Linked DNA regions of Lepisosteus oculatus. The protein of the gene in region 2 purifies or fractionates together with the protein of the main gene of each other region. This does not show direct contact. Links are inferred from orthologs where the notes say so. Each region holds a gene or a part of one and is shown on either strand. Other genes may lie near its edges. The genes, in order: cherp, rbm17 and sf3a3.

Region 1 (7,111 bases), on a different chromosome or scaffold from region 2:
TTTCTAAAAACAGAATTCCTGGGGAGATCAGTTTTTACAATTCAAGCAGCAATGATGATATTTAAAAAATCATTTAAACGAAAGACAGGCTGTGTAAATAGGAAACAGCTGATTTTCTAAACAAAGTATCAACCCAAACCCTGCCTATATCATGCAGCAAAAGAAGGCACACTGTCTTTAATATTCACAGTGCCAAGCGATACAGGTTAAACACTTCAGCAAGTGTCTGAAATACTGAACATCAGACTCTGGTACTTGCTATAATCTCTGTGATCAAAAACAGTATCTATTTAGGCTGAACATCCAGTAACCCCAGAATCCCCGATAACAGCCATGAGCCACAAATAATCAAAAGTCCATGTTTGAACTATACAAAAAAAAAAACAAAATGAAAAATAAAGCTCAAATAAACATAAAAATAGAAATGCAACTCAGCCTCAGATCTTTGATCATGCCAGAATGAAAATTAAAAAAAGAGCATGTCTGGGTATCCTTCTGTCAAAATGGAACTGCTGAGTAACATTCTAATAAATACCTTCCAACTTATACTCCTCACATTCGTGTGTAGTAGAATCTATAAGGAAAGAAGGACACCTTTAATACAGAACACTGCTGGGTTGATCGCTTCTTTAGAAAAACAATTGTTATGGAAATGATTTAATCTTAAGCCTCTATGACTTACTGCAGTTTCAGTGTTAACAATTAAAAGGTGCATCTCTATCATGCTTAGCAAAGTAAACTGAGAAAGAGCATCCTCTTTTTTGTACTGATGCCTGCCTATAATGAAGAAAACTACAAAATACTTTTGCAAATGTTGCCATTATGAGTCCATTACAATTAAAAACTAATCACACTTGTTAAAAAAATCTCATTAGTGTTTCATTTAATTTAACATAAAATAGCTTTAAAAATGCAGCACATTTTAAAGGTTAAAACATATCCTTATGAAACACTTCTCATCCACACCAATTTTCTGTTACTTAACTACTTATTATCTTTAACAAAGCAAGTTACTTGATTACATGAGATGAAAGGGAATTTGGAATAGAAATCTGAAATCCCTGCTGTGCTGCTCTTCAAAATAAAAGACAATATTTGACTCCTGAGTATAAGAAAACAGAGTAGTTAAAAAAAAAAAACATCTGCATATTTCCTTAACCAGACTCGACCACATAAAGCAGCGTTCTTTCAATGTAACGAGAAGCACAGGCAGTGGATTCGGGGTAGACAGCAGAGAACGTACGCTGTTGCTGCTCAACGGCCAGTTTGTACTTGTAGTAGTTGAAGAACTCTCCGCCAAACAGGAAGGAGAATTTGGGGTTTTCCTTCTGCTTCTCCATCGTCATCTTCTCAAACTCTGGGCCATTCCGGGCCACAAACTGGGCCAATTTATCGATGACATTCCTCAGCTCCTGGTCTGCAGAAATACAAAATGAACCCAGTGTTAAACACGGCCCACTGTTGCTTACGGACCAAATACGTTACCTTTCAGGATTTGATGAAGGGCTAATGTATTTGAGGCTTGGTAAAACATACATTATTTATTTTACAGTTTCTGCAGAATGCAACACATTTGCAAATCTCGTATATAGTGGAGCCTTTATTGACAGTACCTGTCTTTCTATATCTACCTATCACCCAAAACGTGAGATAAACCCAAAATAAGAATTTGCAAAGCGATGGAACAATCCACCACATACATTTATACATTTATGAGATTGTCTCTGTTGATTTAAGAGAGTCCGTTTTGCTATGTGTTCGCTGAATCTGATTCTTCAGGGCACTTAAAGGTGTCACGCCACACTTACTTTAACGCACTCACGTAACACTGTTTATGCCCCTATCAAATCCACTTTGTGGGCTTTTCTCAAAATTACTTGGCCGTTATAATAGGTGCGTGATTTCAACATCTGTTGAGCTTAGGGTCTGTTATTTTCTCTTACAAAGAAAGAAATACACTAAGATTTATATTGACGTCGATCTCTTGCGAGACGACTGGCTGCACCAGATTAGAATATACAACGTTAACAAAACGACTGCTAAAATAAACCAATGGAGACTGGTAAAGTATGAGGTATGTATCGATACAGGCCAAGTGAAGGGTTCACACTTTAACGGCGGGCTGCTTGAACGATGCAAATACAACATCATTCATTTCAATACAATGTCCGCTTGGAGGAAGGCGTGAGGCCCATGGCACACATCGCCAACAGCACGCAAGGTAAACCAAAAACCTAAAAATAAATCCAAATCTGGACTTCTGCGGTCGTTTCTTACCCTCGGGTGGCGCTGGGATATCCATGGCTACAAGAGGCACACTCGGACAGCACGGATCGCTAGTAAAACAGCTCCCAGTTTAACTCAGTAAAACGCTGCCCATTCCTCTCAGGGCTCAACCGGAAGCGCATCTTCAAGTGTAACAGATTCATATTTTTTTTTACACTGCGGGTCGTCTCTCCCTCCAAGAGGCCTCTAAGCGCCTGTAGCGCCGCCTGGCGGAGAGGAGGCCCGCTGACACTGAAAGGCGCTGGTGAGCCAGAAGAATTCGCGGTCGGCGTCTAGAAACTTCGGAGAACTCCTTCCCCGTCTTTCGGGTGAAAAAAAAACACTCGGTAATTTCATGAAATGTGTTGGGTCGGTACCATTAAGGGGGGGCATTTCATGGCTTTTCATTTATTCCAGAAGATATTATTTGTGGGAATCCTTAATTGCCGGTAACAAATACGTTCTGAAGTTTTGAATCTTGATCTGCTTTTGTATATCATAACGAGTACATTTTCCGCATAAAATCTGTGTATGAACACGGTTTTAAAAAACGGAACCTTACGTTGAAACCCCAAATTAAATGGATTTTTTTTAATCGCAAATTTTTGTGCACCGAGCATCACCGAGTATTGTGAGGACAATACCTTTCTATCCCACTTTTCGTGGGGAGTGTGAAGACCACTATCCCATGGTCGTGAGACGCGCGAAAAGTGTATTTTTGCCACAGTATTACCACAGTATCAGAGTATCCAGAACCTCTTACTCGTGAAATCACTGTTTTACTCTAAAGCAGAATTAGACATGTAGCCGTTTTTTTCCTAATGACAACGCGGGAACCTCGAGCCAGTGCGCAGACTCCGGCGGCGCGCTCTCGCCGGAAGGCGCATGCGCAGCTCTCCCTCCTCCACGGCCCGCCTCCTCCGCGGGGAGACGCCATTTTGTTTGTGCGCTACCGAGCCAGCGAGCATTACCTCTCGGGCGTCTCGCTTATTTCACCCGCTCTTTCTTTCTGCTTTGTGTTCACGGGCACGCGATGGCTGAAGGTTTGTCGGGCGCAGACCCGGTGTCGACCGAGATCCCGGAAGGCATGGGGGTCCGCAAGCTGTCGGATTTGCGAGTGATCGACCTGAAAGCTGAACTGAAGAAACGGAATCTGGACACCAGCGGCAACAAGAGCATGTTGTCGGAAAGGCTCAAAAAGGTGCTGTAGGCCTCGGATTTGTTCGTGCATTTAAACAGATAAGAGAAGTGTTTCTGTGGCGTACCCTTCATGGAAATGTAGTTCCGTATTGTATAGGTAGAGGGTATTTTCGAGTAAAGTCCGCATTGCCTTATTAATCAGTTGCCTGAGTTTGCGTAGGAGTGTGCACCGTTTTTGAACACGAGATGCTTATGTAATTTATTTTTGTCTCGGCAGTTGCTAAAAATGCTCTAGTTACATGGTATAATACACATTACAGATTGCTGTTGTCGATGTGAGAGGCTGCGTGTTACCCTGAAATGATATTATTTCGGTTTATCTTACGGTTTTTTTTTTGCCATAAAAGAAACCGAGAGCTGTCATTGAGAAATTAAAAATCGCTTAAGGACCTGGTGCGCAATGTTGGCGCAACTCCTGGTACTTTGATTTTGATTGCTGTTACTTAATAGGCTATATTAACGCAATTCGTGGATCTAAATCGTATTGACATACGCGTTACATCAGTGGTGAATAGACCAGGAAAACACCGCTGATTTGTTTTCTAAAGAACGATTATAACCGTGTGGTTTTAAATGAAGTACATATTTCTGGGATCGAGAAGGAGTTGGGTTTGATCGTGACCGCCGCAGTTTCATTTACAGTGTCTTCAGGGAGCCATGCGGGTTACTGCAGTACATTTTAGTGCAGATGGGATAACTTATAGCATGTTATATTAACAGTTTCCCACGTAAATGTACGGTCATAGGAGTTATTTAAGGTGAAATTTTAGAACATAAGCCAGATTTTGCCTGATCAAAAGCAGAATGCGAGACCGGTGTCGCACCCAGACTTACAGCTAGGTGTCCTTCTTCCTGGAAATAGAAATGCTGATCCAGTTCCCTGATGTAGGCCTTCAGATGAGATGTTCAACTGTCATCTTGACTGTGCTGTTTGCCTGATCATTCAAAGTCCCGTGGCACTGTTTTTAAGAGATAGGATGCTACTCCAGTGTGCTGGCTCAGTACTGCTTTGGGCATGGACAGCTTGACCTTCCTAAAGTACCCTGATTCAGTTCGTAAAGGAGTTTCTCACTTCTCAAGTCAGTAGTGTAGTGGGGTTGCTGCACGCCGCCTGGGTGGGGCTGTACACCAGTGATAGATGAGGTGCGTCCCCTCCTATATGTAAAATAATCTGGAATTAATAGAACTGTCAGGTTCAAGGAATTATTTATTAGTTACACAATTTGATGTTAGGTCCTTAAGGTGTTTTGGGTCACATTGGATGTGCAAGGTGTTGCTTCAGAATGTTTTTGGTAAACATTAACATGTTTTCAATTTCCCCACAGGCAATTGAAGAGGAAGGAGGGAACCCAGACGAAATTCTTGTCACACTTGAGGCAGCTCCCAAGAAGACCCCGAAGAGGACCCCCAAAGGTACACTGGGTGGAATTCTTTTAATCCATTCCTTAAATTCTTGCCTTAAGATCCTCTTGAGAGTTTTGAACCTTGGCTACGAATCCAAGAAATATATATTTTTTATCCCCCACCTTTTGGGTGATTGTAGGTCAGATCTTGAGGGATAAGATATGCCTAGTTTCTTGCTACACTTTCTTGAGGAGGTCAAGTGTTATCGCTGTCCATTAGGCTAGATGGTACTTGGCTAACTTGGTGGTTTGCTTTTTGGCCTAAAACTGCACCTTTGGTCATAGATGTGAAAGTTGATTTGTTTTAACACAGCTAAAATGTACAGAATATTTTTTTTTTCCACCTGGAAATTCAGCTATCTGTGTTCTTTGTGGGTGGTTGGTTTACTTCTGCTTTCATCCTCCTTTAGGAAAACGACAGGAGAGTGATGGTCTTGAAGATAGCACTATTGAAGAAGATTCGGGAGATGGGCAGGTGAGTGTTGTGATGCATCCTTGATTGTACAAAAATGGAGTGACCATACATTTAAATTCAAAATAAAAAAAAAACATTTATCTTGTGTAGGATGACCCGGAAGTAAACTTGGAAAATCTCCAGGAGATGGACATCATGGACATGAGTGTCTTGGATGAGGCCGAGATCGATAATGGCATCCCAGCAGACTGTGACGAGTACGATGCCGATGAAATTCTTGATTCACTTTCCAATGAAGGAGATGCTGAAGGCATTCCGGAGAGCTTTGCCCACGACAGCTCAGATTCTCCTGTCCCAGAATCCGATCAGAAGCCTGAAGAGGTGAAGAGCCTTGTTTTCTCTTTCAAAGGCCATCAGCCACATTTATTCTATAAATATGTCTCTGGGGGAAAAAAGGGGCTTATACTTTACTAAGAATTCAGAAAACATGTTTTTGTGAGCTTTTACAGACTGCATATAAGCTTTGAAAAGTTTTTTTCCCTAATGATGTCACTATTTTTATTTCTGAAATCCCTTTTTTAGAATTTTCTAATCCTTTGATATGGCTAAATGTCCTCAATTTCTCGTTTGACATGTCACTAGTAAAACTCAGGCAGTTCCCATCTGCTGTGTAGATGGCTGTCATTTATTTGGCAAATATTAACTTGTTTTATCTGCTGCAATTTTAGGATGAGAATATGGAGGCTGAAGGTGACTGTGCTCCAAACGTGGAGGATCTTGAGTCTGCTGAATCGAAAGAGGTATGTTAAAGCTTCCTTTTAAGTTTTTGTTTTTAAATTTGCTTTTATTGAAATTTTGTACAGTTGTGTCATTTGTCATAGTGTTATACTGATTGCTCATGAATCTTGAGGTATGTAGGTTAGGTAACACATAAAAGATGCTTTCATAGACCTCAGCTTAATCAAGGTATCTCAAGGGTCCTGAGCACATTAAAACTCACATTGGCACAACAAATTACAGTAGGATTACCTACTGTAGAAATACCTGGCTTGTTTAACAACCCTAAACCAGCTTCTATTGAGATCTTTTTTTACACTAAACTAATTTACACCCATGTGCAAATGTGGCATTCCTTTCACATTCAGTTAATGACTTAATCCCACTTTTAGTGAACAGAAGTATAATATGAGGTCATTTACCGGCCTCTAGTGGCAATGGAGTCTCAATCGCTTACCCAACATGCCGCGGATATATTTACATATTTCAGCATTTATCAAATCTGTCATGTATCTTGAAATATGCTAAAATATATTAATTGGTTCATTCGTTTATAATGATCTTCACAGTCACAATTGTTTCCTCTTTTTTTCCATAGGAATCTGAAGACATTAAGGACGAAACAGGTACTGTTCAGAACGAAAGTATAACATGTAGTAACTCAGTCTTTTCCCACAGTGTGTGAATCTTGATTAAGCAAATGCTTGACGTCGGTGTTCGTGCGCTAAAACGTTGTTCCCAAATAGAGACTGGAAACCCAAAGAGAGTTACTGGCTCTGTGTTCCAAAACCCATAGACTGATTATTTCGCTAACCTTAATTCATTGGCTTTTGATATTACAAGTGGGTTGTCCACATTTTCCGCTGCTGACACAGATCGATGTTGTCAGGGTGGTTAGTGAAAGCACAGGGCCAGTGATTTAAGCAGCACGCTTAGTGTTTTGAATAAGGTCTTCGCTTAGCCGTTGCAGATGATGTGCAGTGTTTTTAGGTTGCCACTTGCCACAAATGAAGACAGAAGTCAAGAAGAGAAGATTGGAGTCCGGCATTGG
Region 2 (7,456 bases):
TTCTTATTAGATAAGACACAGATAGTTCTTACACATTCTTCTTTGATACTTGCTGCTTCTTTGCTGCCATTTTTTCTTAATAATGGAACTTTCTTGGACACCATCTAATCTGCTTGCAATTCTAATTAGGCTCGGAGTTTTGACTGCCATCTGGTATTTGTTGAAAACACTCAAACAACTTCTCTGACAAAACTACAAGGCAAAACAAAGCAAAACCTGATATAAACAAAGCAGGTTGTTCTGCCTGTCAAAATCTTTCATGTGGCAAATTGCTACCTTAAAGAATCAAGGCTGCCACAGACCAATCAAATTGAAGGTCTGGGTAGATACTGTATTATAAGTATTATAACAATATAAGATATTGTAACAAACGTGGTAGAGCTCGTAGAACATGGAATAACAGCAACATACACATAGAGCATACAATATTGTGTTTTTAGATTTTCAGATTTGATGAAGTTCCAAGAAAGATTAATTCTCAAACTGTTGGTGGTAGGCATTCAAGGAAATGCAGTAATCTAGTGTGAGAACTGAATAAGGAGAAGGAGGTAGAGTACAGATAAAGGGTAACTGTTCAGACTGGGGTGATATAGTAGGAAGAGTAAGATAGAGATCTGCTCTTGCTAATGTACTGTATGTGAATGATGTAGATTCTGGTTTAGTGAGAGTTAGTTATAACTAGTCAAGTTTGCAGATGATACCTAAACAGGAGGAATAGTAATCACTCTAGAAGCAAAACAAATAAAAAAGAATTCAGAGAACGTTCAAGACTGGGCAAACATCTGGTAGATTATATTTAATTTAGACATGTTTGTGGTTTTTGTGCAGGAAGTAAAAGCAAAGCATAAATACAAAATGGGAAACTGAGCAAGTAGAGGCTACTTTTAAAAGACCGAGGCGCTCACGCTAACGAACATTTATATCATCCAATGCTGGGCACCAATAAAAACAAAATGTTAGGCAATATACTGTAGTTATAAGTGCAAAATTTAAATAGAGGGATAATATTTCCACAGCTCTAGTAAATCCTCATTTAGAATAGTACGTACACTCTTTGGCACCAGGTTATAAGATATAGATATTGCTGCTCTGGAACCTGTCCAGAGCATAAGAGATACAGTACATTGATGAGATCCATGTATCCAAAATCCTCCAAGGCATCAACAAAGTCAACTTAGTGGACTATTTTTTAGTATAAATAGTGAAACACAATGTTTGTAAAATTGCATTTGAAACCAAGAACAGGAGACACTTATTTAGCAAAGGGTGGAGGGTGTCTAGAGTAAGTCTGCCCAGTGCTGTTGTCAAAAACGATAACCTGGCTTCTTTCCTGACATCCTTGAATCAGATTACAGTTAGCTACAACAACTGAATGGGCTACATGGACCAAATGGCTTCCCCTTGGCTGTAGCCGTACTCATGTTCTTATGATGCTGAAGATCCTTGTTTACTTAAGAAACACAAAACAGTCTACAGTAACTAATGCATCACGAAGCCAGACTTCTGTGATTTAACTTTTTCCTGGAAACTTTGCCTGGGGTTTCCGCCCTTGCCACTCCTGCCCTGCCAGTTCGTCCCTCACTGCCTGGGCACGAACCTGGGTCTCCACCGTCACGGAACAGGGAACTTGCCAGCTGAGCTAAAGGAGAACTCCCCCAGCCCGGGCAGCTGAGATCCCTGTTATATACAGGGGCGTTTCATTACACCTGCAATCTCTGTTTGAATTACACTAAGAAGTTATATGTATCTTATTTTAAACCTTTTCAAATCCTACCTTATAGGTATACCTTATTAAATATTTTAAAACTCTATAGTTGTTTAAACTCTGTTAAACCTAAATTGTCTAAGCATGTCAGCAATTCTGAGTGCAACACATTTAGGATGTCCTAAATATACCATAATATATTTTAGAAAATATTAAGAGAAAGGCATTAACAGATGCAACCAACATGCCTATTCAGTATATAAATATAAAGAGACAAAGAAATTAATTACCAGTATTAATGCTACCAGAGCAGTGGTTTTCAACCTTTTTTTAAAAAATCAATTAATTTCTAGAATCAAATTCAAATATCTGCATTTTTGCATCAGACGGTTGAAGTGAAGAGAGTATGAGGCTGTAGTCCTGTGATGTGGAGAAGGTTTATTGCCCTAATATTTACAGTGGGGGGGCATGCTGGTCACAGAGGTAGAGAAGGCAGGAGGAGAGACGATAAAATTAGACATTTTATTTATCATCTGGGCATTCACTCACAGACTGAGTCATTGCCCAACCCTATCAGATTTTACAACAAGCATTCATCTGGTGGTATATGGGCCACAAATAAGTGGGAAAGTTGTAACGATCTGACTTGATAACTACTTCCCAAATCAGTTTACAGCTAATAAGGATTTCAAGGTAAGCAGTATCTCTAAGTTTATAAGTTTTGGCAGGATGAATTCCTTCGCAGCAAAATAAACACAATTATACTTAGACTATCCTGGAAGGGGCCGTGAATCCTGGGTCCTTAATGGTGGTACCTCAGTCCCCTTCCAAGCCTCAAAGATTCCCTCCTGCTTTGTGAAGTGTCCTTACTTCTTTTGTGTTGGTCATGTAAAAAGACACTATCTTCACAAAGATCTGAATAAGGTCTTCTAATTTGAAAAGTGTAATAGATGTAAAAGATGTAATAGAGGACAGGCAAGGTTTTCCTGCTATGACACAAACTGGAATACTGCTTTTTGTTTTGTTAATGGGCGGATGTAGCTGTGGCTCAGGCAGTCTTCCAAGTTTCTCTGACTAGTTGACTTCTCCTTCTGATTTCTTCCTTCCTCTCAAAAAGAAAGAGGAACTTTCTTTTAAAACCCTAAGCTCCTTCTCTAGGCTCACACAAGTGTTACAAAAGATAGGACTAATTACCCAATTAAACTAATCAATCAACTTAAACCTGGCCTGGCTTCGATCATTGAAGAATAGTTAAATTCTCCAATATGAGACCTTCTGTGCCTTTCATTCATTTGTATCTACTGCTCCAAAGTGACCATAATTAAAACAATCACCCCCTGAATGCAATCACCCCCTGATGCAAGCTGCCATCACCTGTAGCTTCATGTTGGAACTCAACATGGGTTCAATTCCTAGGGTGTTATCTTCAGGGAGCTTTTATATTCTGCGGATATTCTCGTGGGGTTCCTTCAGCTGGTCTGGTGTCCTCCCACTGTCCAAAGACATACTGGTAGGTTAATTGGCTTCTGGGAAAATTGGCCCTAGTGTGAGTGTGTGTGTCTGCCCTGAGATGGACAGGTGTCTTATTCAGAGTGTATCCCACCTTGTGCCTGTTGCTTGCTGGGATAGGCTCTGGCTCCCAAGTGATTCTTAATTGGATGAAGAACTTAAAGGATGGATATCAGAAACTGCTAAGTCACTTTTTGGAAGCTGCCAGATGAGAGGTCAGCTATGTTTAAACATTTGCCCTCCTTTTTAACTTGTGGGTTCTAAAATATGTATATTGCTATAAAAAGCTTGGGAAATAGTTATTTGAATTTTGTGAAACACATTTGGCTTCTCCCTATTCCCTCTGTACTCAATAAAGCCCTAATTTGTTTAAAATTTCTATCATGTTTAGTCCACAATAACATAACAAATAGAGGTTCAGTATATGCCAGCAGCCATATCACCCTGCAACTTACTACTGACAACCCATTGACGCAAAGCAGGTGTCACTCTGGTGAGTATCTGGATGGGAGACCTCCTGGGAAAAGGTTAAGTTGCTGCTGCAAGAAGTGTTAATGGGACCAGCAGAGTGTGCTCCGTGGTCTGTGTGGGTCCTAATGCCCCAATATAGTAATGGGGATGCTATACTGTAAAAAGGTGCAGTCCTTCTGATGAGATGTAAAATATGACTCCTTGTGGTCATTAAGAGTAGGTGTGTAACCCTGGCGTCCTGACCAAATTTCCCCCTGATCTTTACCAATCATGGCCTCCTAATAATCCCCATCTATGAATTGGCTTCATCACTCTGTTCTCCTCCTCACTGACAGCTGATGTGTGGTGAGAGTACTGGCACATCATCCAGGTGGGGCTGCACGCTGGTGGTGGTGGAGGGGAGTCCCCATAATGTGTAACGTGAGTGGAATGTCCAGAAAAGTGAAGTGTAAAGAATTATTTGTATTATATAGTATAAATACCAGATAGTATATATTAGTATAGATATACTAAATAAACCGACCTGTAGATTTAAGTAGTATTTTGGCATGAAACTGTTATATCTGAAGTCCATCTGATCAGAAATGTTGAGTGCATTTTTTCTCTCTGACCTTCCGTCTCGGTTAGCGATATTTGTTTTTCCCTTGCGTAAAGCGACATCTAGTGTCAGAATAAAACGTTCCCGAGGTTCTGATATTCACGTGTAGTTTCAGTCCTCCACTGGGTGGTGGCAGCAGAGATTTTAACAGGGGGTCTTCATGTAACTCCGCTTTCTTTTTCCAGCGATGTCGTAAATATCTTCGTTTTTGAACGTTGTTTGATTGCGTTTGTATAAAGTCTGGTAGGTATTGTTTTAAATATAACCTAATAGCTAAAATATTTGAATTAAACGGTGTGGATTCTTAACTCTGGGTTTTAACCGTACCTGTGGCCCAGATATGGTTGTGATGTGCGGGTCAGTAAATGGAGTACACCGTTTCAAGTCCTTTTATTAGGAGAAATAAATATGTTCTTCTGCGAAACCTGACGTTTTGTTTCTGAAAGCTACTATATTGCGCTCTTTTGTATCAGTCGTAAGAAGGCGGTTATTGTTTGTAGGATTTCAATATGTTGTGCTTTTGTTATGATAAGCATGAATGGTGATGGCGCGCCACGTTTAGTTGAACTTAATCTTGTGAGTTTACAAGAACGTGTGTATTTCTTAAAGCTGTTAGTCATGGCGTATAAAAAAGTCCTGGGGAACGTTTTTACTTGTCTTTGCTTCCTTTATGTGAACATTTAATAAAGACGTACAATGTAATAGTTAATCTCTGTCTACGGACTGGAAGTCAAAATTGCAGTTATTCTAAAAAACTCGCAGTATTTATATGATATGTAAGGTGAAATATTAATAACTTTTTTAACATAAGTTCTATTCATAGCTCGAGTTTTGGGTAGTTCAACCATGATTAGCAAGTGTTGTGAAACAGCCCCTAAGTACTACAGTCATGTAAAAAAGAAAGTACACTATCTGTCAATTAAATGGTTTTACGTATCAGGGCATAAATAACAATCGTCTGGTCCTCACCAATTTCTGTATTTAGACAAACCTAGCCTCAGATAACACAACACATTACAGATTTCATTATGTCATTGTTTGTTCAACAAAAAGTAAGCCAAAATGCAGAAACCATGTGGGAAAAATTAAGTACACCCTTACTGCTTCCATAGGAATTAAGAAGGTAATTAGCAGCCAGGTAATGCTTATCAAATGCACTTGATTAGTTGATCAACAGGAAGCATGACCACCTCTATAAAAGCAGAAGTTTTGGCAGTTTGGTGATCTTGAGCATTCAGGTGTGTTAACACCATGCAAAGGAGAAAAGACATCAGCAATGAACTCAGAAAAGCAGTTGTTGCTGCTCATCAATCTGGGAAGGGTTATGAGGCCATTTCCAAATAATCTGAAATCCATCATTCTACAGCGAGAAGGATTATTTACAAATGGAGAACATTCAAGACAGTTGCCAATCTTCCCAGGAGTGGGCGTCCCAGCAAATTCATACCAAGGTCAGACCGTATAATGCTCAGCGAAATCGTAAAGAGCCCAAGAGCTACCTCTAGGGATCTACAGTCCCGGTTAACATGTTAAATGTTAAAGTTCATGACGGTACGATCAGAAAAAGACTGAACAAGTATGGCTTTCATGGAAGGGTAGCCAGGAGAAAGTCCCTTCTCTCCAAAGAGAACATGGCAGCACGGCTTAGGTTTGCAAAGTTGCATCTGAACAAACAAGAAGATTTCTGGAAAAGTGTGCTTTTGACAGGCGAGACCAAAGTGGAGATGTTTGGTCATTATGCACAACGCCATGTTTGGCGAAAAACCAAACACAGTGTATCACCACAAACACCTCATACCAACCGCCAAGCACGGTAGTGGAGGGGTGATGATTTGGGCTTGTTTTGCAGCTATAGGACTTGGGCACCTTGCAGTCATTGAGTTGACCACAAACCAAAGTATTCTAGAGACAAATGTGAGACCGTCTGCCCGACAGCTAAAGCTTGGCCGAAATTGGGTCATGAAACAGGACAACGATCTCAAGCACACCAGCAAATCGACAACTGAATGGCTGAAAAAGAAAAGAATCAAGGTGTTGGAATGGCCAAGTCAAAGTCCAGACCTCAACCCCATTGAGATGCTGTCTGTGAGACCTGAAGAGAGCTGTGCATAAACAGATGCCCTCAAACATCAGTGAACTGAAGCAATGTTGTAAAGAACAGTGTGCCAAAATTCCTCCAAAACAAGCGACTGGAGGAATATTTATAAGAGACCGATAAACTCATACAGGAAACGATTACTTCTGCTTCTGTAAGCTACTGAATCATGGGGTGGACTTAGTTTTTCACGCATGGCTTCTGCATGTTAGCTTATTTTTTGTTAAATTAAATAATGACATAGTGGAATCTGAGCTGTGTTGTTTATCACCTGAGGTTAGATTTACCTAACTGTAGGACCTGGTAAGGACCAGTTGATTTTTTGTTATGTCCTGATATATAAAACCATTTCAGAATTGAAAGAGGGTGTCCTTTCCTTTTCACATGACTGTCTATGTTGACTGCTGCCAGCCATGTCGCAGCGATGTAGTATTACAGGCTGTTGCATTTTTTGTGCAGGCTTTGTGAATTAGTATTCTCAATCTTTCTTTCAAAGTGCCGTTGGTCTGTTTTATCAAAAGATCCAATTTTGTCTCCAAGGTATTCCGGAACTAAAGGAACATGTCCCTCTATGATGACCTGGGAGTTGAGACCAGCGACACGAAAACGGAAGGCTGGTCCAAGAACTTCAAGCTGCTTCAGTCTCAGCTTCAGGTGAAGAAAGCAGCGCTGACACAGGCCAAGGTATGGGAGAGTACCGTTTCATTGGTTAGATCAGTTAATATGATAACGATATGAACATGATGTAGATGATGCATAGGTCAGATTGATTGATTTATTTATTCAGAAATATTTCTTTTAAATTTCATCAAGATTTTTTAATTAGGACCTTTGGTTGGAGCAGGGCACGAAGGAAATAACAGTAGAATGCACAGGAAGTTTTTCTTTTCAAAGCTGAAAATATTTTTAATGTAGTCTGAGGTGTGTTTTTGGTAAAATATGATGTTTAAATAGATTTAACACTTTTCCTCCTTTCAGAGCCAGCGTACAAAGCAGACTACAGTTTTAGCCCCGGTGATCGATCTGAAGAGGGGCAGCACCAGTGATGACAGACAGATCTCTGATACACCTCCCCATG
Region 3 (7,912 bases), on a different chromosome or scaffold from region 2:
ATGCAGAGTGGTTGAGTATATTCCTGAGATTGTTGGAATGCGATATTGAAAGACATTAATCTCAAAATTCTCAAAGGTACCGACAAAGTCAGGACAACAATGTCTTCAGATTTACAATGTACTGCAACCCAGACAATACAAAAGACAACTAAATGAAAATCGATTTAAGACACAAAGCACTTCTTGAAAGTTATCCATGCATAAAGCAGATTCTTGGTAGGAACAATGATCTATTCGTACCCAAATGGACAATCCTGATCAAATACCCATTTTTATTTCCTTATCCAGCAGTTAATGATATCCAAGTGCACAAGTGAAACAAAATAAAGCTAAATCCAAGATCTTACCTCTGCTCCTTTCAGGTTGATGTACTTCAGGTAACAATCATGAAGATCAAGATATCGCCCATATCCTTCCTCATCAGTGAATTCAACTAAATCTAACAATATTTACAAAACATTAAGAAGTGAGTGTCTTACGAACAATAGGTTAGAACACAACTAAAGATATTTGTTACTCAAGATAACATCACCAAATAACTGTTATTCTTAGTCATAATTCTGCCTTCTTCATCAAGTTTACATCTCTGAGATTAACAATGCAGAAATACCACTAGAAAAAAGTCAACAAGGTCACAAAATAAACTAAAGAAAGAGACTAGGAAGAGATCTAAGAAAAGATTTACTGTGAAAGGAGTTAGATAATGCATTCATGTAAAAAGGATTTGCTTTCCTTCCAAATCATAATTGGATTAATCTCAAAAGATTTTCGTCTTACTCTGTGCTTCTTCACTGGGGTTTTCTCTGGCTTTCATTAGCTCTTCAAATTCAACAGACATGGGAACACAGATCTAAATGATCAAAAAACATTAACATGATTAAGAAAGAAGGATAAACAGTTCTGGAACAGAAAAGCATGTTTAATATGAAACGTTAGATCACAATTAAACTGCAATCTCAGGTAAATGCCTTGTTGTTGTGTGTAAGTTCACCTCATTGGGGTGTTTCCTGTGAAATTCCTTTATCTGCTTCAACCGGTTGTAGAATTCAGCAAATTCATTTGGTCCCGAAATAGCACTGAGCTCCTCCTTTCTCATTCTGTGAGGACAGGCATGCAGAAAGAAACATTATATTCAAATAAAAAAAAAAACCCAAATATTTAGAAATGCATTTGTAAATATCTACTAATGTCATGGTTATATAAAGTTAAAATGTTACCTGCTCAATATGTGAAAGCAAGTTAGTTTTAATTCCTTTGTATGACAAATCTACCAACAGGCAACTGAAGAATCTGGTACTCTCTGGTGATTTGTTCAGAGCACAGCAGAACAATTTAGTTTGGCAATCTACTCGTTAACGAAAATCAGATCATCTGAAGTAAGAGTTCATGCAGCATTTTTAATCATTCTGCAATGACGTGTTTATATCAATACCAGCAGAAATAACCGCTGGATCCACAGACTCACCCATCTTTATCTTCATAGGAATCCCGCAGATTTGCACTCACTTCCATGTACCTCTGGAAAAGCAATTAAAATGCGGTTGTATTTTCTAAAACATACTTAACGAGGTACAATCTTATATTTTATTACGTGGAAGTTATTGACTGAAGTGCGGGAAGGGTGACAAGTCAGTCTCACAGAGCTGTACCTAGTCACCATCATCATGACGTAACTCGCTACATATACTCAACTCAAACCCGTCTCCACCTTGCAGCTGCCCCTTGGTCTGAACTGGGTTTAACCAAGCAGGTTAAGCCAAGCTTGTCTCACCAAGCATTCCAAGCATCCAATTCCTGGATGTTATTTAATTACCCATGAAATAAAAAAGGACCACAAATCAAGCAAATATCCGACGTGGCTGTAGGACTTAAGATAGGAAATAAACGCATTACTCACATCCAGCATTGCTCTTGTCCGGTGATCTGAGTTTATCTGGTCCCTTAACTAAACAAGAAAGAGAAAATCAGCTCTGTGACAAATCAGAATGTATAGTTTGCCAAAATCCATACATATACGGCACACATATGAGTGTGACCAACGTCACCGTTGACAAAATCACGGACGGTAATTATGTTGCTTGAAGCAGAAAGTTACCTGTCACTGTATCCTCCAAAGTACAACTAGAATTTGTAATAATACTAAGAACTTTTAATTACACCTCCAAATAAGACTATAATTTAAATAAAGAAATAGGTGAAAGGGCAAGTTAAAAGGCACCAGCTACTTTATTTCTGCATCCCACTTCCGATTGCTAATTTTTCACTAGAATACAAAGCGTGAATATAACTCATGTGAAGCAAAATCAGCTCATCTATTCAAGTTCACAAGCAGCTCCAAATCTCGGTGAAGGAAAATCAAAAACTGCAAGCAGATCGTTTGCTTCATATGGTCAAAAATAAAATGTTTAAAAAACGTATTCACACGCGTAGAAGAGACCCAATACCTTAAAAACAAGGAAAGCGGTTACATTTTTTACATTCAACCAGGTAATTAGTTAAAGTATGCGGTTGTGAATAAAAACACTGAAAACAACTGTGCACCACAACTTGAAAACAGCCTCTGAAATCTCTTAAAGCACCTAGTATTTATTTATGCAGTCTAAAACCAAGTATATTATTTGAACGTAAAACATTTTGAAACAACGAAAGAGTTCTGCAACATTAAAATAAACAACACAGAACCGACCTACTGATTTCTTTTTTTCTAAAAAAAGGTTTGCCCTAATTTGCCGGGATCTGCGGGTCCACAAACACGGGCCTAACTCAAAGGCGGGTGCTGCGCAAGTTACCGTAGTTTTTTTGTGTAGCATTTCTTTTGTCTTGGCATCCATGAGCCTTTCTTTTTCCTCATGGTAGCGCCGCTGCTGCTCCAAAATGGTCTCCATGTTTTAATGAAACAAGAAACAAATACAAAAGACAAGTTGTAGCCTTTCCCGCTTCACTCCCGTACAGTCACAACACACAGACGGAGGCGAATGCAACACGCACCACATCACAGACTACCGGAAAGCATCTCCCTAAAGTGTCCGGTGTCAAACTGAGAAACAACAAACGCAGTCGAAAGATTCCGGGACGTCATGTCCATTTTTGTGTTGGTCAAGTCGTAACTTCTCAAAATCATTACCGCTATTTTAAAAGTTAATACAGGAAAAAAATAATTCATGAATTCAATTTAGATATTCAAACCAGCACTTAATACTTTATATTTTACTCATCCGAAACACTGTCAATATCAAATAAACACATCGCCCGGTGGTGAGGAGGAAGTGCACCTCGGCGTTGAGGCTACCGCAAAGCAGGCTGGGAATTGTAGGCCGGGGGAGTCCGAGGGTCCGTAACCGTAAGCAGCAGCTGACCCTACTCATGTAAATATACCTGTGTTAGTTTAAGTGTTCCCTGAAGTTTAGTGCCCTATAAGTTAGTGTGTAGAGTCTGTTAAAGAGTTACCACCATAAACCCGAGTACATGTTCCCTTGGTCCCGTAATGTGTGCGTAAATCCCGTGGTCTGTTTACGTAAAGGAGAGTAAAAATTGGTGTTAGTGAGTTTAGTCCGTCTCCGATTAATTTCGTCCTGCACGAACCCGTAAGCGTTACAATACCAAATCATTTCGGTTCTCAGTAATAGTTGGTTACGTTGATTAGTGAGCAACTGTGGTTTTTAAGTTCTGGACGAGCATGACATTTAAATATTATGCGCCACGGAAGTTCCTCACAGTAGAGACCAAGAGTTACAGTGCTATCTTTTTGCTTCTTTGTGAAATATAACTGTACCCTTGGGTGTCGTATAGATGAGAAAGGTGGAAGCAAGCAGAATGTATAATTATTATTGCTTTATTACTGTTAGTCAACTAATAACAACTCAAACCTTTGCCCTTTTAAAACCTGGCAATACAGTATGTTCGTATGCAACAGTTTTATATGCATCTAAATAACACTGTAAACAGTGAGGTTTTGATTTTGTATAAAATCTTGTATATTATCTGAAAATCACTGGGGGTGATTTCTGGGACTAGTCCTGTGTTCCAAGAATAACAAATACCTTATTTTATGTTTTGTCTAGAAAAACTAGAACTGGCATTTCTTTTCAAACATAACCAAAAGAGGAACGATTTAAACCATGCTAACTAGGGCAGAGTGGCAAATTCACTTTTGTATGAGTTCCACTGGATGTCCAGCACCAATGGCTAAGAGGATTAGGTTAGATTTATTAACTGGATTGGTTCTCACCTGTCAACAAACCCTCATAGCAACAGCAGGGAATTTATACACAGGGCGATAGCCAAGGGAACACGCCTGGGCTGTAACTACATTCTGACCTAGAAAAGGCTTCCACACCACATGGCAGCAATTGGATCTCTCTAGAAAAGGCTTTAAGGATTCCCAAGACACAGAACTAAAAGGTAGCATTAGCTGCAATATGTACTAGGCTATGCTGATTTCTGATATTATTTAGCAGAACTGACAGCAGGGCTAAAATAGTTGTACTATATGTGTTCTGCTACTCTGTCCTTCAATCATGAGCCCTCAGTGGCTGCTGCTGGCAGCATATGCTGGTCATATGTAAATGTATAGAAATCAATTAGATATGTTCATTTTCCTTGAGAGCTAAAATGCTCATTGAGAAACTGTGTTTCATATGTCCCCTCGCAGATTCTAACTAAACCACTGCAACATGGCTGAAGCAAAGCCTCTATTGGGTAAAATAAATAATGTTTTCAAGCGTTGACTTTTTAAAGTTGTTGCTAAAAAATAAATGGTAATTACATGCAGGCTAAAAGCTTATAGTGTCTGACTTAACCCACATTTCTGCACCACTGGATGAAGCTGTTTGTTGTTGTATCCCTTTTCTTTATAGCTCCACTAATGGGTATATAGTTCACAGATCTAGCTGGCTTCAATATGGTCTTCTGTGTGTTCTGGTCTATGTTAGATTGGACATTTAGAGGACTGATATGTTTCTGGAGATTTATGTGGGTAAGTAAAAAAACTTTCAGGCTCTACACTATAAAGTAGCAAAATAAAAGCATACGTGAAGATAGTAAAACCTATGTATTTATTTAATTGCCTGTTTGCATTTAACAAGATACAGGTGTGTTGATGGGGATTTTATTTAAGAATAAAGACAGATATTAAGCAAAGCTATATACAGTATGGTAGTTATGTAGGATGAGAGCTATTAGTCTGTAGCTGACAGGACTGCATGATGTAATTATAGCCAAAAGCCTATGTTTTATTGCTGTGCACTTCCCAGTAACACTATTATTACATTTTTTAAAATAACATGCAGTGCTAAATGATATCTAGAAAGGAATGACAAAACCATAGTAATTTAAACAAACGTTGTGGTTTCACATTCACATCGTTGGGCAAGCAAACAAATAATCTGGAATTCAGAGCTCACTGATGAGCTTTACTGTTATACAGTATGTGAAAAGTAAACATAGTAGAACTTGCAGATTCATGCATTTCTATATAAATTTTAACATAAATGAATATGCAAGTCTTGCCAACCTCCTATCATTTAAGACTGAAAAATAAAAACTTCAATAACGAATTCTTGATGTAGTTTTAATTTCGTTGGAATTTTTTAGACTTCAATTGCTTAAAATGTAACCATTTAAAAGGACTAAAGGTTTTATTTTAGAGTTTTCGATGTACTATATTTGTAAAATGTGTTCCATCTCTTTTGTACCAAGTGTAGCACGATCACTCTTATTTAAATATTTTAACGGAATAGGCTAATGTTTTCTTGGGAACTCTTTGAAGGGATAACTAGGCGTTTCTGTTGTTTCCATACTGTGGCCAAGTTTTTCACTTTTCTGTCTTTCATTCCAGGTGACCCCATTCCAAGCAATCACGTCTTCTTATCTCAGTAAAAAGCGAAAGATTGTAGATTTTACAGTTCACAGCCCCAAGCTTGAAAAAACAGGTTTGTGGTTCATCATTTTTTTTTCCTGATGAGAAGATAAAAAGTTTTTAATTAAAGTAATATTTCAGGTTAATACGTTGTGCAAGTCTTTTATTATTACATTACGCCACGAACACCCTCAATAGTGGTGCCAGAAATGAAACATTTTAATTTGAGGCTGTGTTGATGTTTATTTTGCTCAGATTATTCTACTGGATGTACCTTACAGCAGAAGTTCCATGTTTTTTGTAGTATGTAGTCTAGAATAATACTATAAAATACAATACGGTGAAATTTTAAATCGCGAAATAAAAATGTTTTTATCTCTCGAGTGTAATCTTGACGTAGGATGTTATGCACGCATACTTCCAGCAGAGGGAGCGCATAACATGTCAGAAAACAGTTTTCTGATGTTTCAAGATGCTTCAAAGCGCAATATTTCAATCTATCCTTTCAGAAACAAATCTTACCTTTACACCACCACCTTTGCTTGTGATTTGAAAGGGTGCTCACCATGAACTGGAGCTCTGTAAAATGGAGATTAATTTGTCTGAGATGACTAATCTTGATTTTAAACTTGAATGAGTAGTGTTTCAGAGTGCTGCATTCTTTACAAAACCCAAAATTGTAGGAAACATCAGTGCCTGTAAAACAACAGAGGCCCTTCAGTGCAAAAAAACTGAAATACCTATTGGAGGTTGTGGGATGTCTGCTAATAACACATTTCTCTGTGCCAAGTGCACTTATACCATTTTTTCTATTGAACATTCCTTCTAGATACTGAAGTCTCAGAAGAGACGTCAAACCTTCATGACTGCAGTAATTTGGTTCGCAAGAGATTATCCAAAGCTGAGAGTGAAATTCAGCTATTGAAATCACAGATTTCAAAGGAAAAAGCTGTTTGGGAAAAGAGGTTTCTGGAGCTGCAGAGAAAACAGCTGGAACTGAGAGATCAGGTATATCCTTCTCCACAGGTATCTGAATATGCATCCATAAAGACTGTTGCAAGGTTCCTGACAGGTTCACAAGCAAGCATGCATTCTCAGTCTCTTTAAGTTAAAACAACTATATATCTAGGAGAAGGGTTACTCTTCCCCTTGACTCTTATACTATTGATGATTTAAAGAGACTAAAAACCTTAATGAATTCTAGACCCAAAGACCTAGAGTTTAGGAACACCTTCTATGATGGATTAAGTACTTTCGTTTCCTTCTAGATTTTCTTGTCCTGTGTAAATAAATGTGGAAAATATTTCTATGCAGTTCTTCTGTAAGGTAGAATGAGGCATTATTTGTCAAAATGATCATACAAGATTGGATTTATTGGAAAATCGGAGATGAATTCCCTCACAGGGTCCATTTTTCTTATATGAATTTCTCATATGACAACTTTTGAACACTCTTTGCTGTAGTTGTTAGTTGTGAGTGTTAATAAGTATTGATAACCTAGAGATGGTTTAATGATTGGTGGTATTTTACAGTACATTAGTGGTTTTAGTAACATGCAATACATTGGAAAATTAATTTAAAATAATAACACATTTATATACCACTGCAGGGGGAAATAAAATCAGTGTGTCTGCCAAAAAACAATTAACTTGTATGTCGATATTTGTTTTGGCTTTCATTTTTTTAATTTGGCAGCGAGAGTTCAGAAGCAAGCCGCAACATGCAGCTATTTCACACTTCCACACCAATATAGAAAAATGTACACAGCAAGATCCTAAAGTCATTCAAATGGGCAAGTAATCTACTTTTTAAAATTTTTCCAGCTCATATCAGAAATCTTGGCAAGAAATGGAGCTCTATTCGAAGATGATATCAGTGGCTTCATAGAGAGTGACATAACGACATCCAAATCTGACCTGGAAAATCACTGCATGCTTGATGCTTGTGCAAGTAAGCAAAGTAAGTTCAAAATGCAAAAAGTGATCATACATTACTACAGTAAAATGAATCATCTATCCATTAAACATGTTAGCCACAATGTTACATTTTTCATGC

The links.
Region 1: the proteins of rbm17 (region 2) and cherp purify together in Homo sapiens (co-immunoprecipitation; 4 studies listed by BioGRID and IntAct, counting the BioPlex papers as one, with this or other methods). This does not show direct contact. The link is inferred for Lepisosteus oculatus from reciprocal best matches to the Homo sapiens genes RBM17 and CHERP.
Region 3: the proteins of rbm17 (region 2) and sf3a3 purify together in Homo sapiens (affinity purification with mass spectrometry; 4 studies listed by BioGRID and IntAct, counting the BioPlex papers as one, with this or other methods). This does not show direct contact. The link is inferred for Lepisosteus oculatus from reciprocal best matches to the Homo sapiens genes RBM17 and SF3A3.

What each region holds. Positions count from the first base shown.
Region 1 is NC_090724.1:5,323,722-5,330,832, reverse strand, and holds the start of cherp (calcium homeostasis endoplasmic reticulum protein), read right to left. Parts: upstream 3,107-7,111; 5' UTR 2,910-3,106; intron 2,613-2,909; exon of another isoform or gene 2,588-2,612; 5' UTR 2,303-2,587; coding exon 2,278-2,302; intron 1,418-2,277; coding exon 1,244-1,417; intron 575-1,243; coding exon 536-574; intron 1-535. Other genes in the region: safb (scaffold attachment factor B1), read left to right, coding at 3,299-3,466, 4,791-4,878, 5,279-5,343, 5,434-5,664, 6,012-6,083, 6,659-6,686. UniProt on the Homo sapiens protein: Involved in calcium homeostasis, growth and proliferation.
Region 2 is NC_090702.1:43,509,700-43,517,155, reverse strand, and holds the start of rbm17 (splicing factor 45), read left to right. Parts: upstream 1-4,425; 5' UTR 4,426-4,526; intron 4,527-6,918; 5' UTR 6,919-6,939; coding exon 6,940-7,062; intron 7,063-7,356; coding exon 7,357-7,456. UniProt on the Homo sapiens protein: Splice factor that binds to the single-stranded 3'AG at the exon/intron border and promotes its utilization in the second catalytic step. Involved in the regulation of alternative splicing and the utilization of cryptic splice sites.
Region 3 is NC_090706.1:5,552,894-5,560,805, reverse strand, and holds the start of sf3a3 (splicing factor 3A subunit 3), read right to left. Parts: upstream 3,032-7,912; 5' UTR 2,886-3,031; coding exon 2,790-2,885; intron 1,946-2,789; coding exon 1,898-1,945; intron 1,519-1,897; coding exon 1,466-1,518; intron 1,098-1,465; coding exon 992-1,097; intron 851-991; coding exon 778-850; intron 440-777; coding exon 348-439; intron 1-347. Other genes in the region: centrosome-associated protein 350, read left to right, coding at 4,901-4,975, 5,837-5,930, 6,687-6,865, 7,681-7,816. UniProt on the Homo sapiens protein: Component of the 17S U2 SnRNP complex of the spliceosome, a large ribonucleoprotein complex that removes introns from transcribed pre-mRNAs.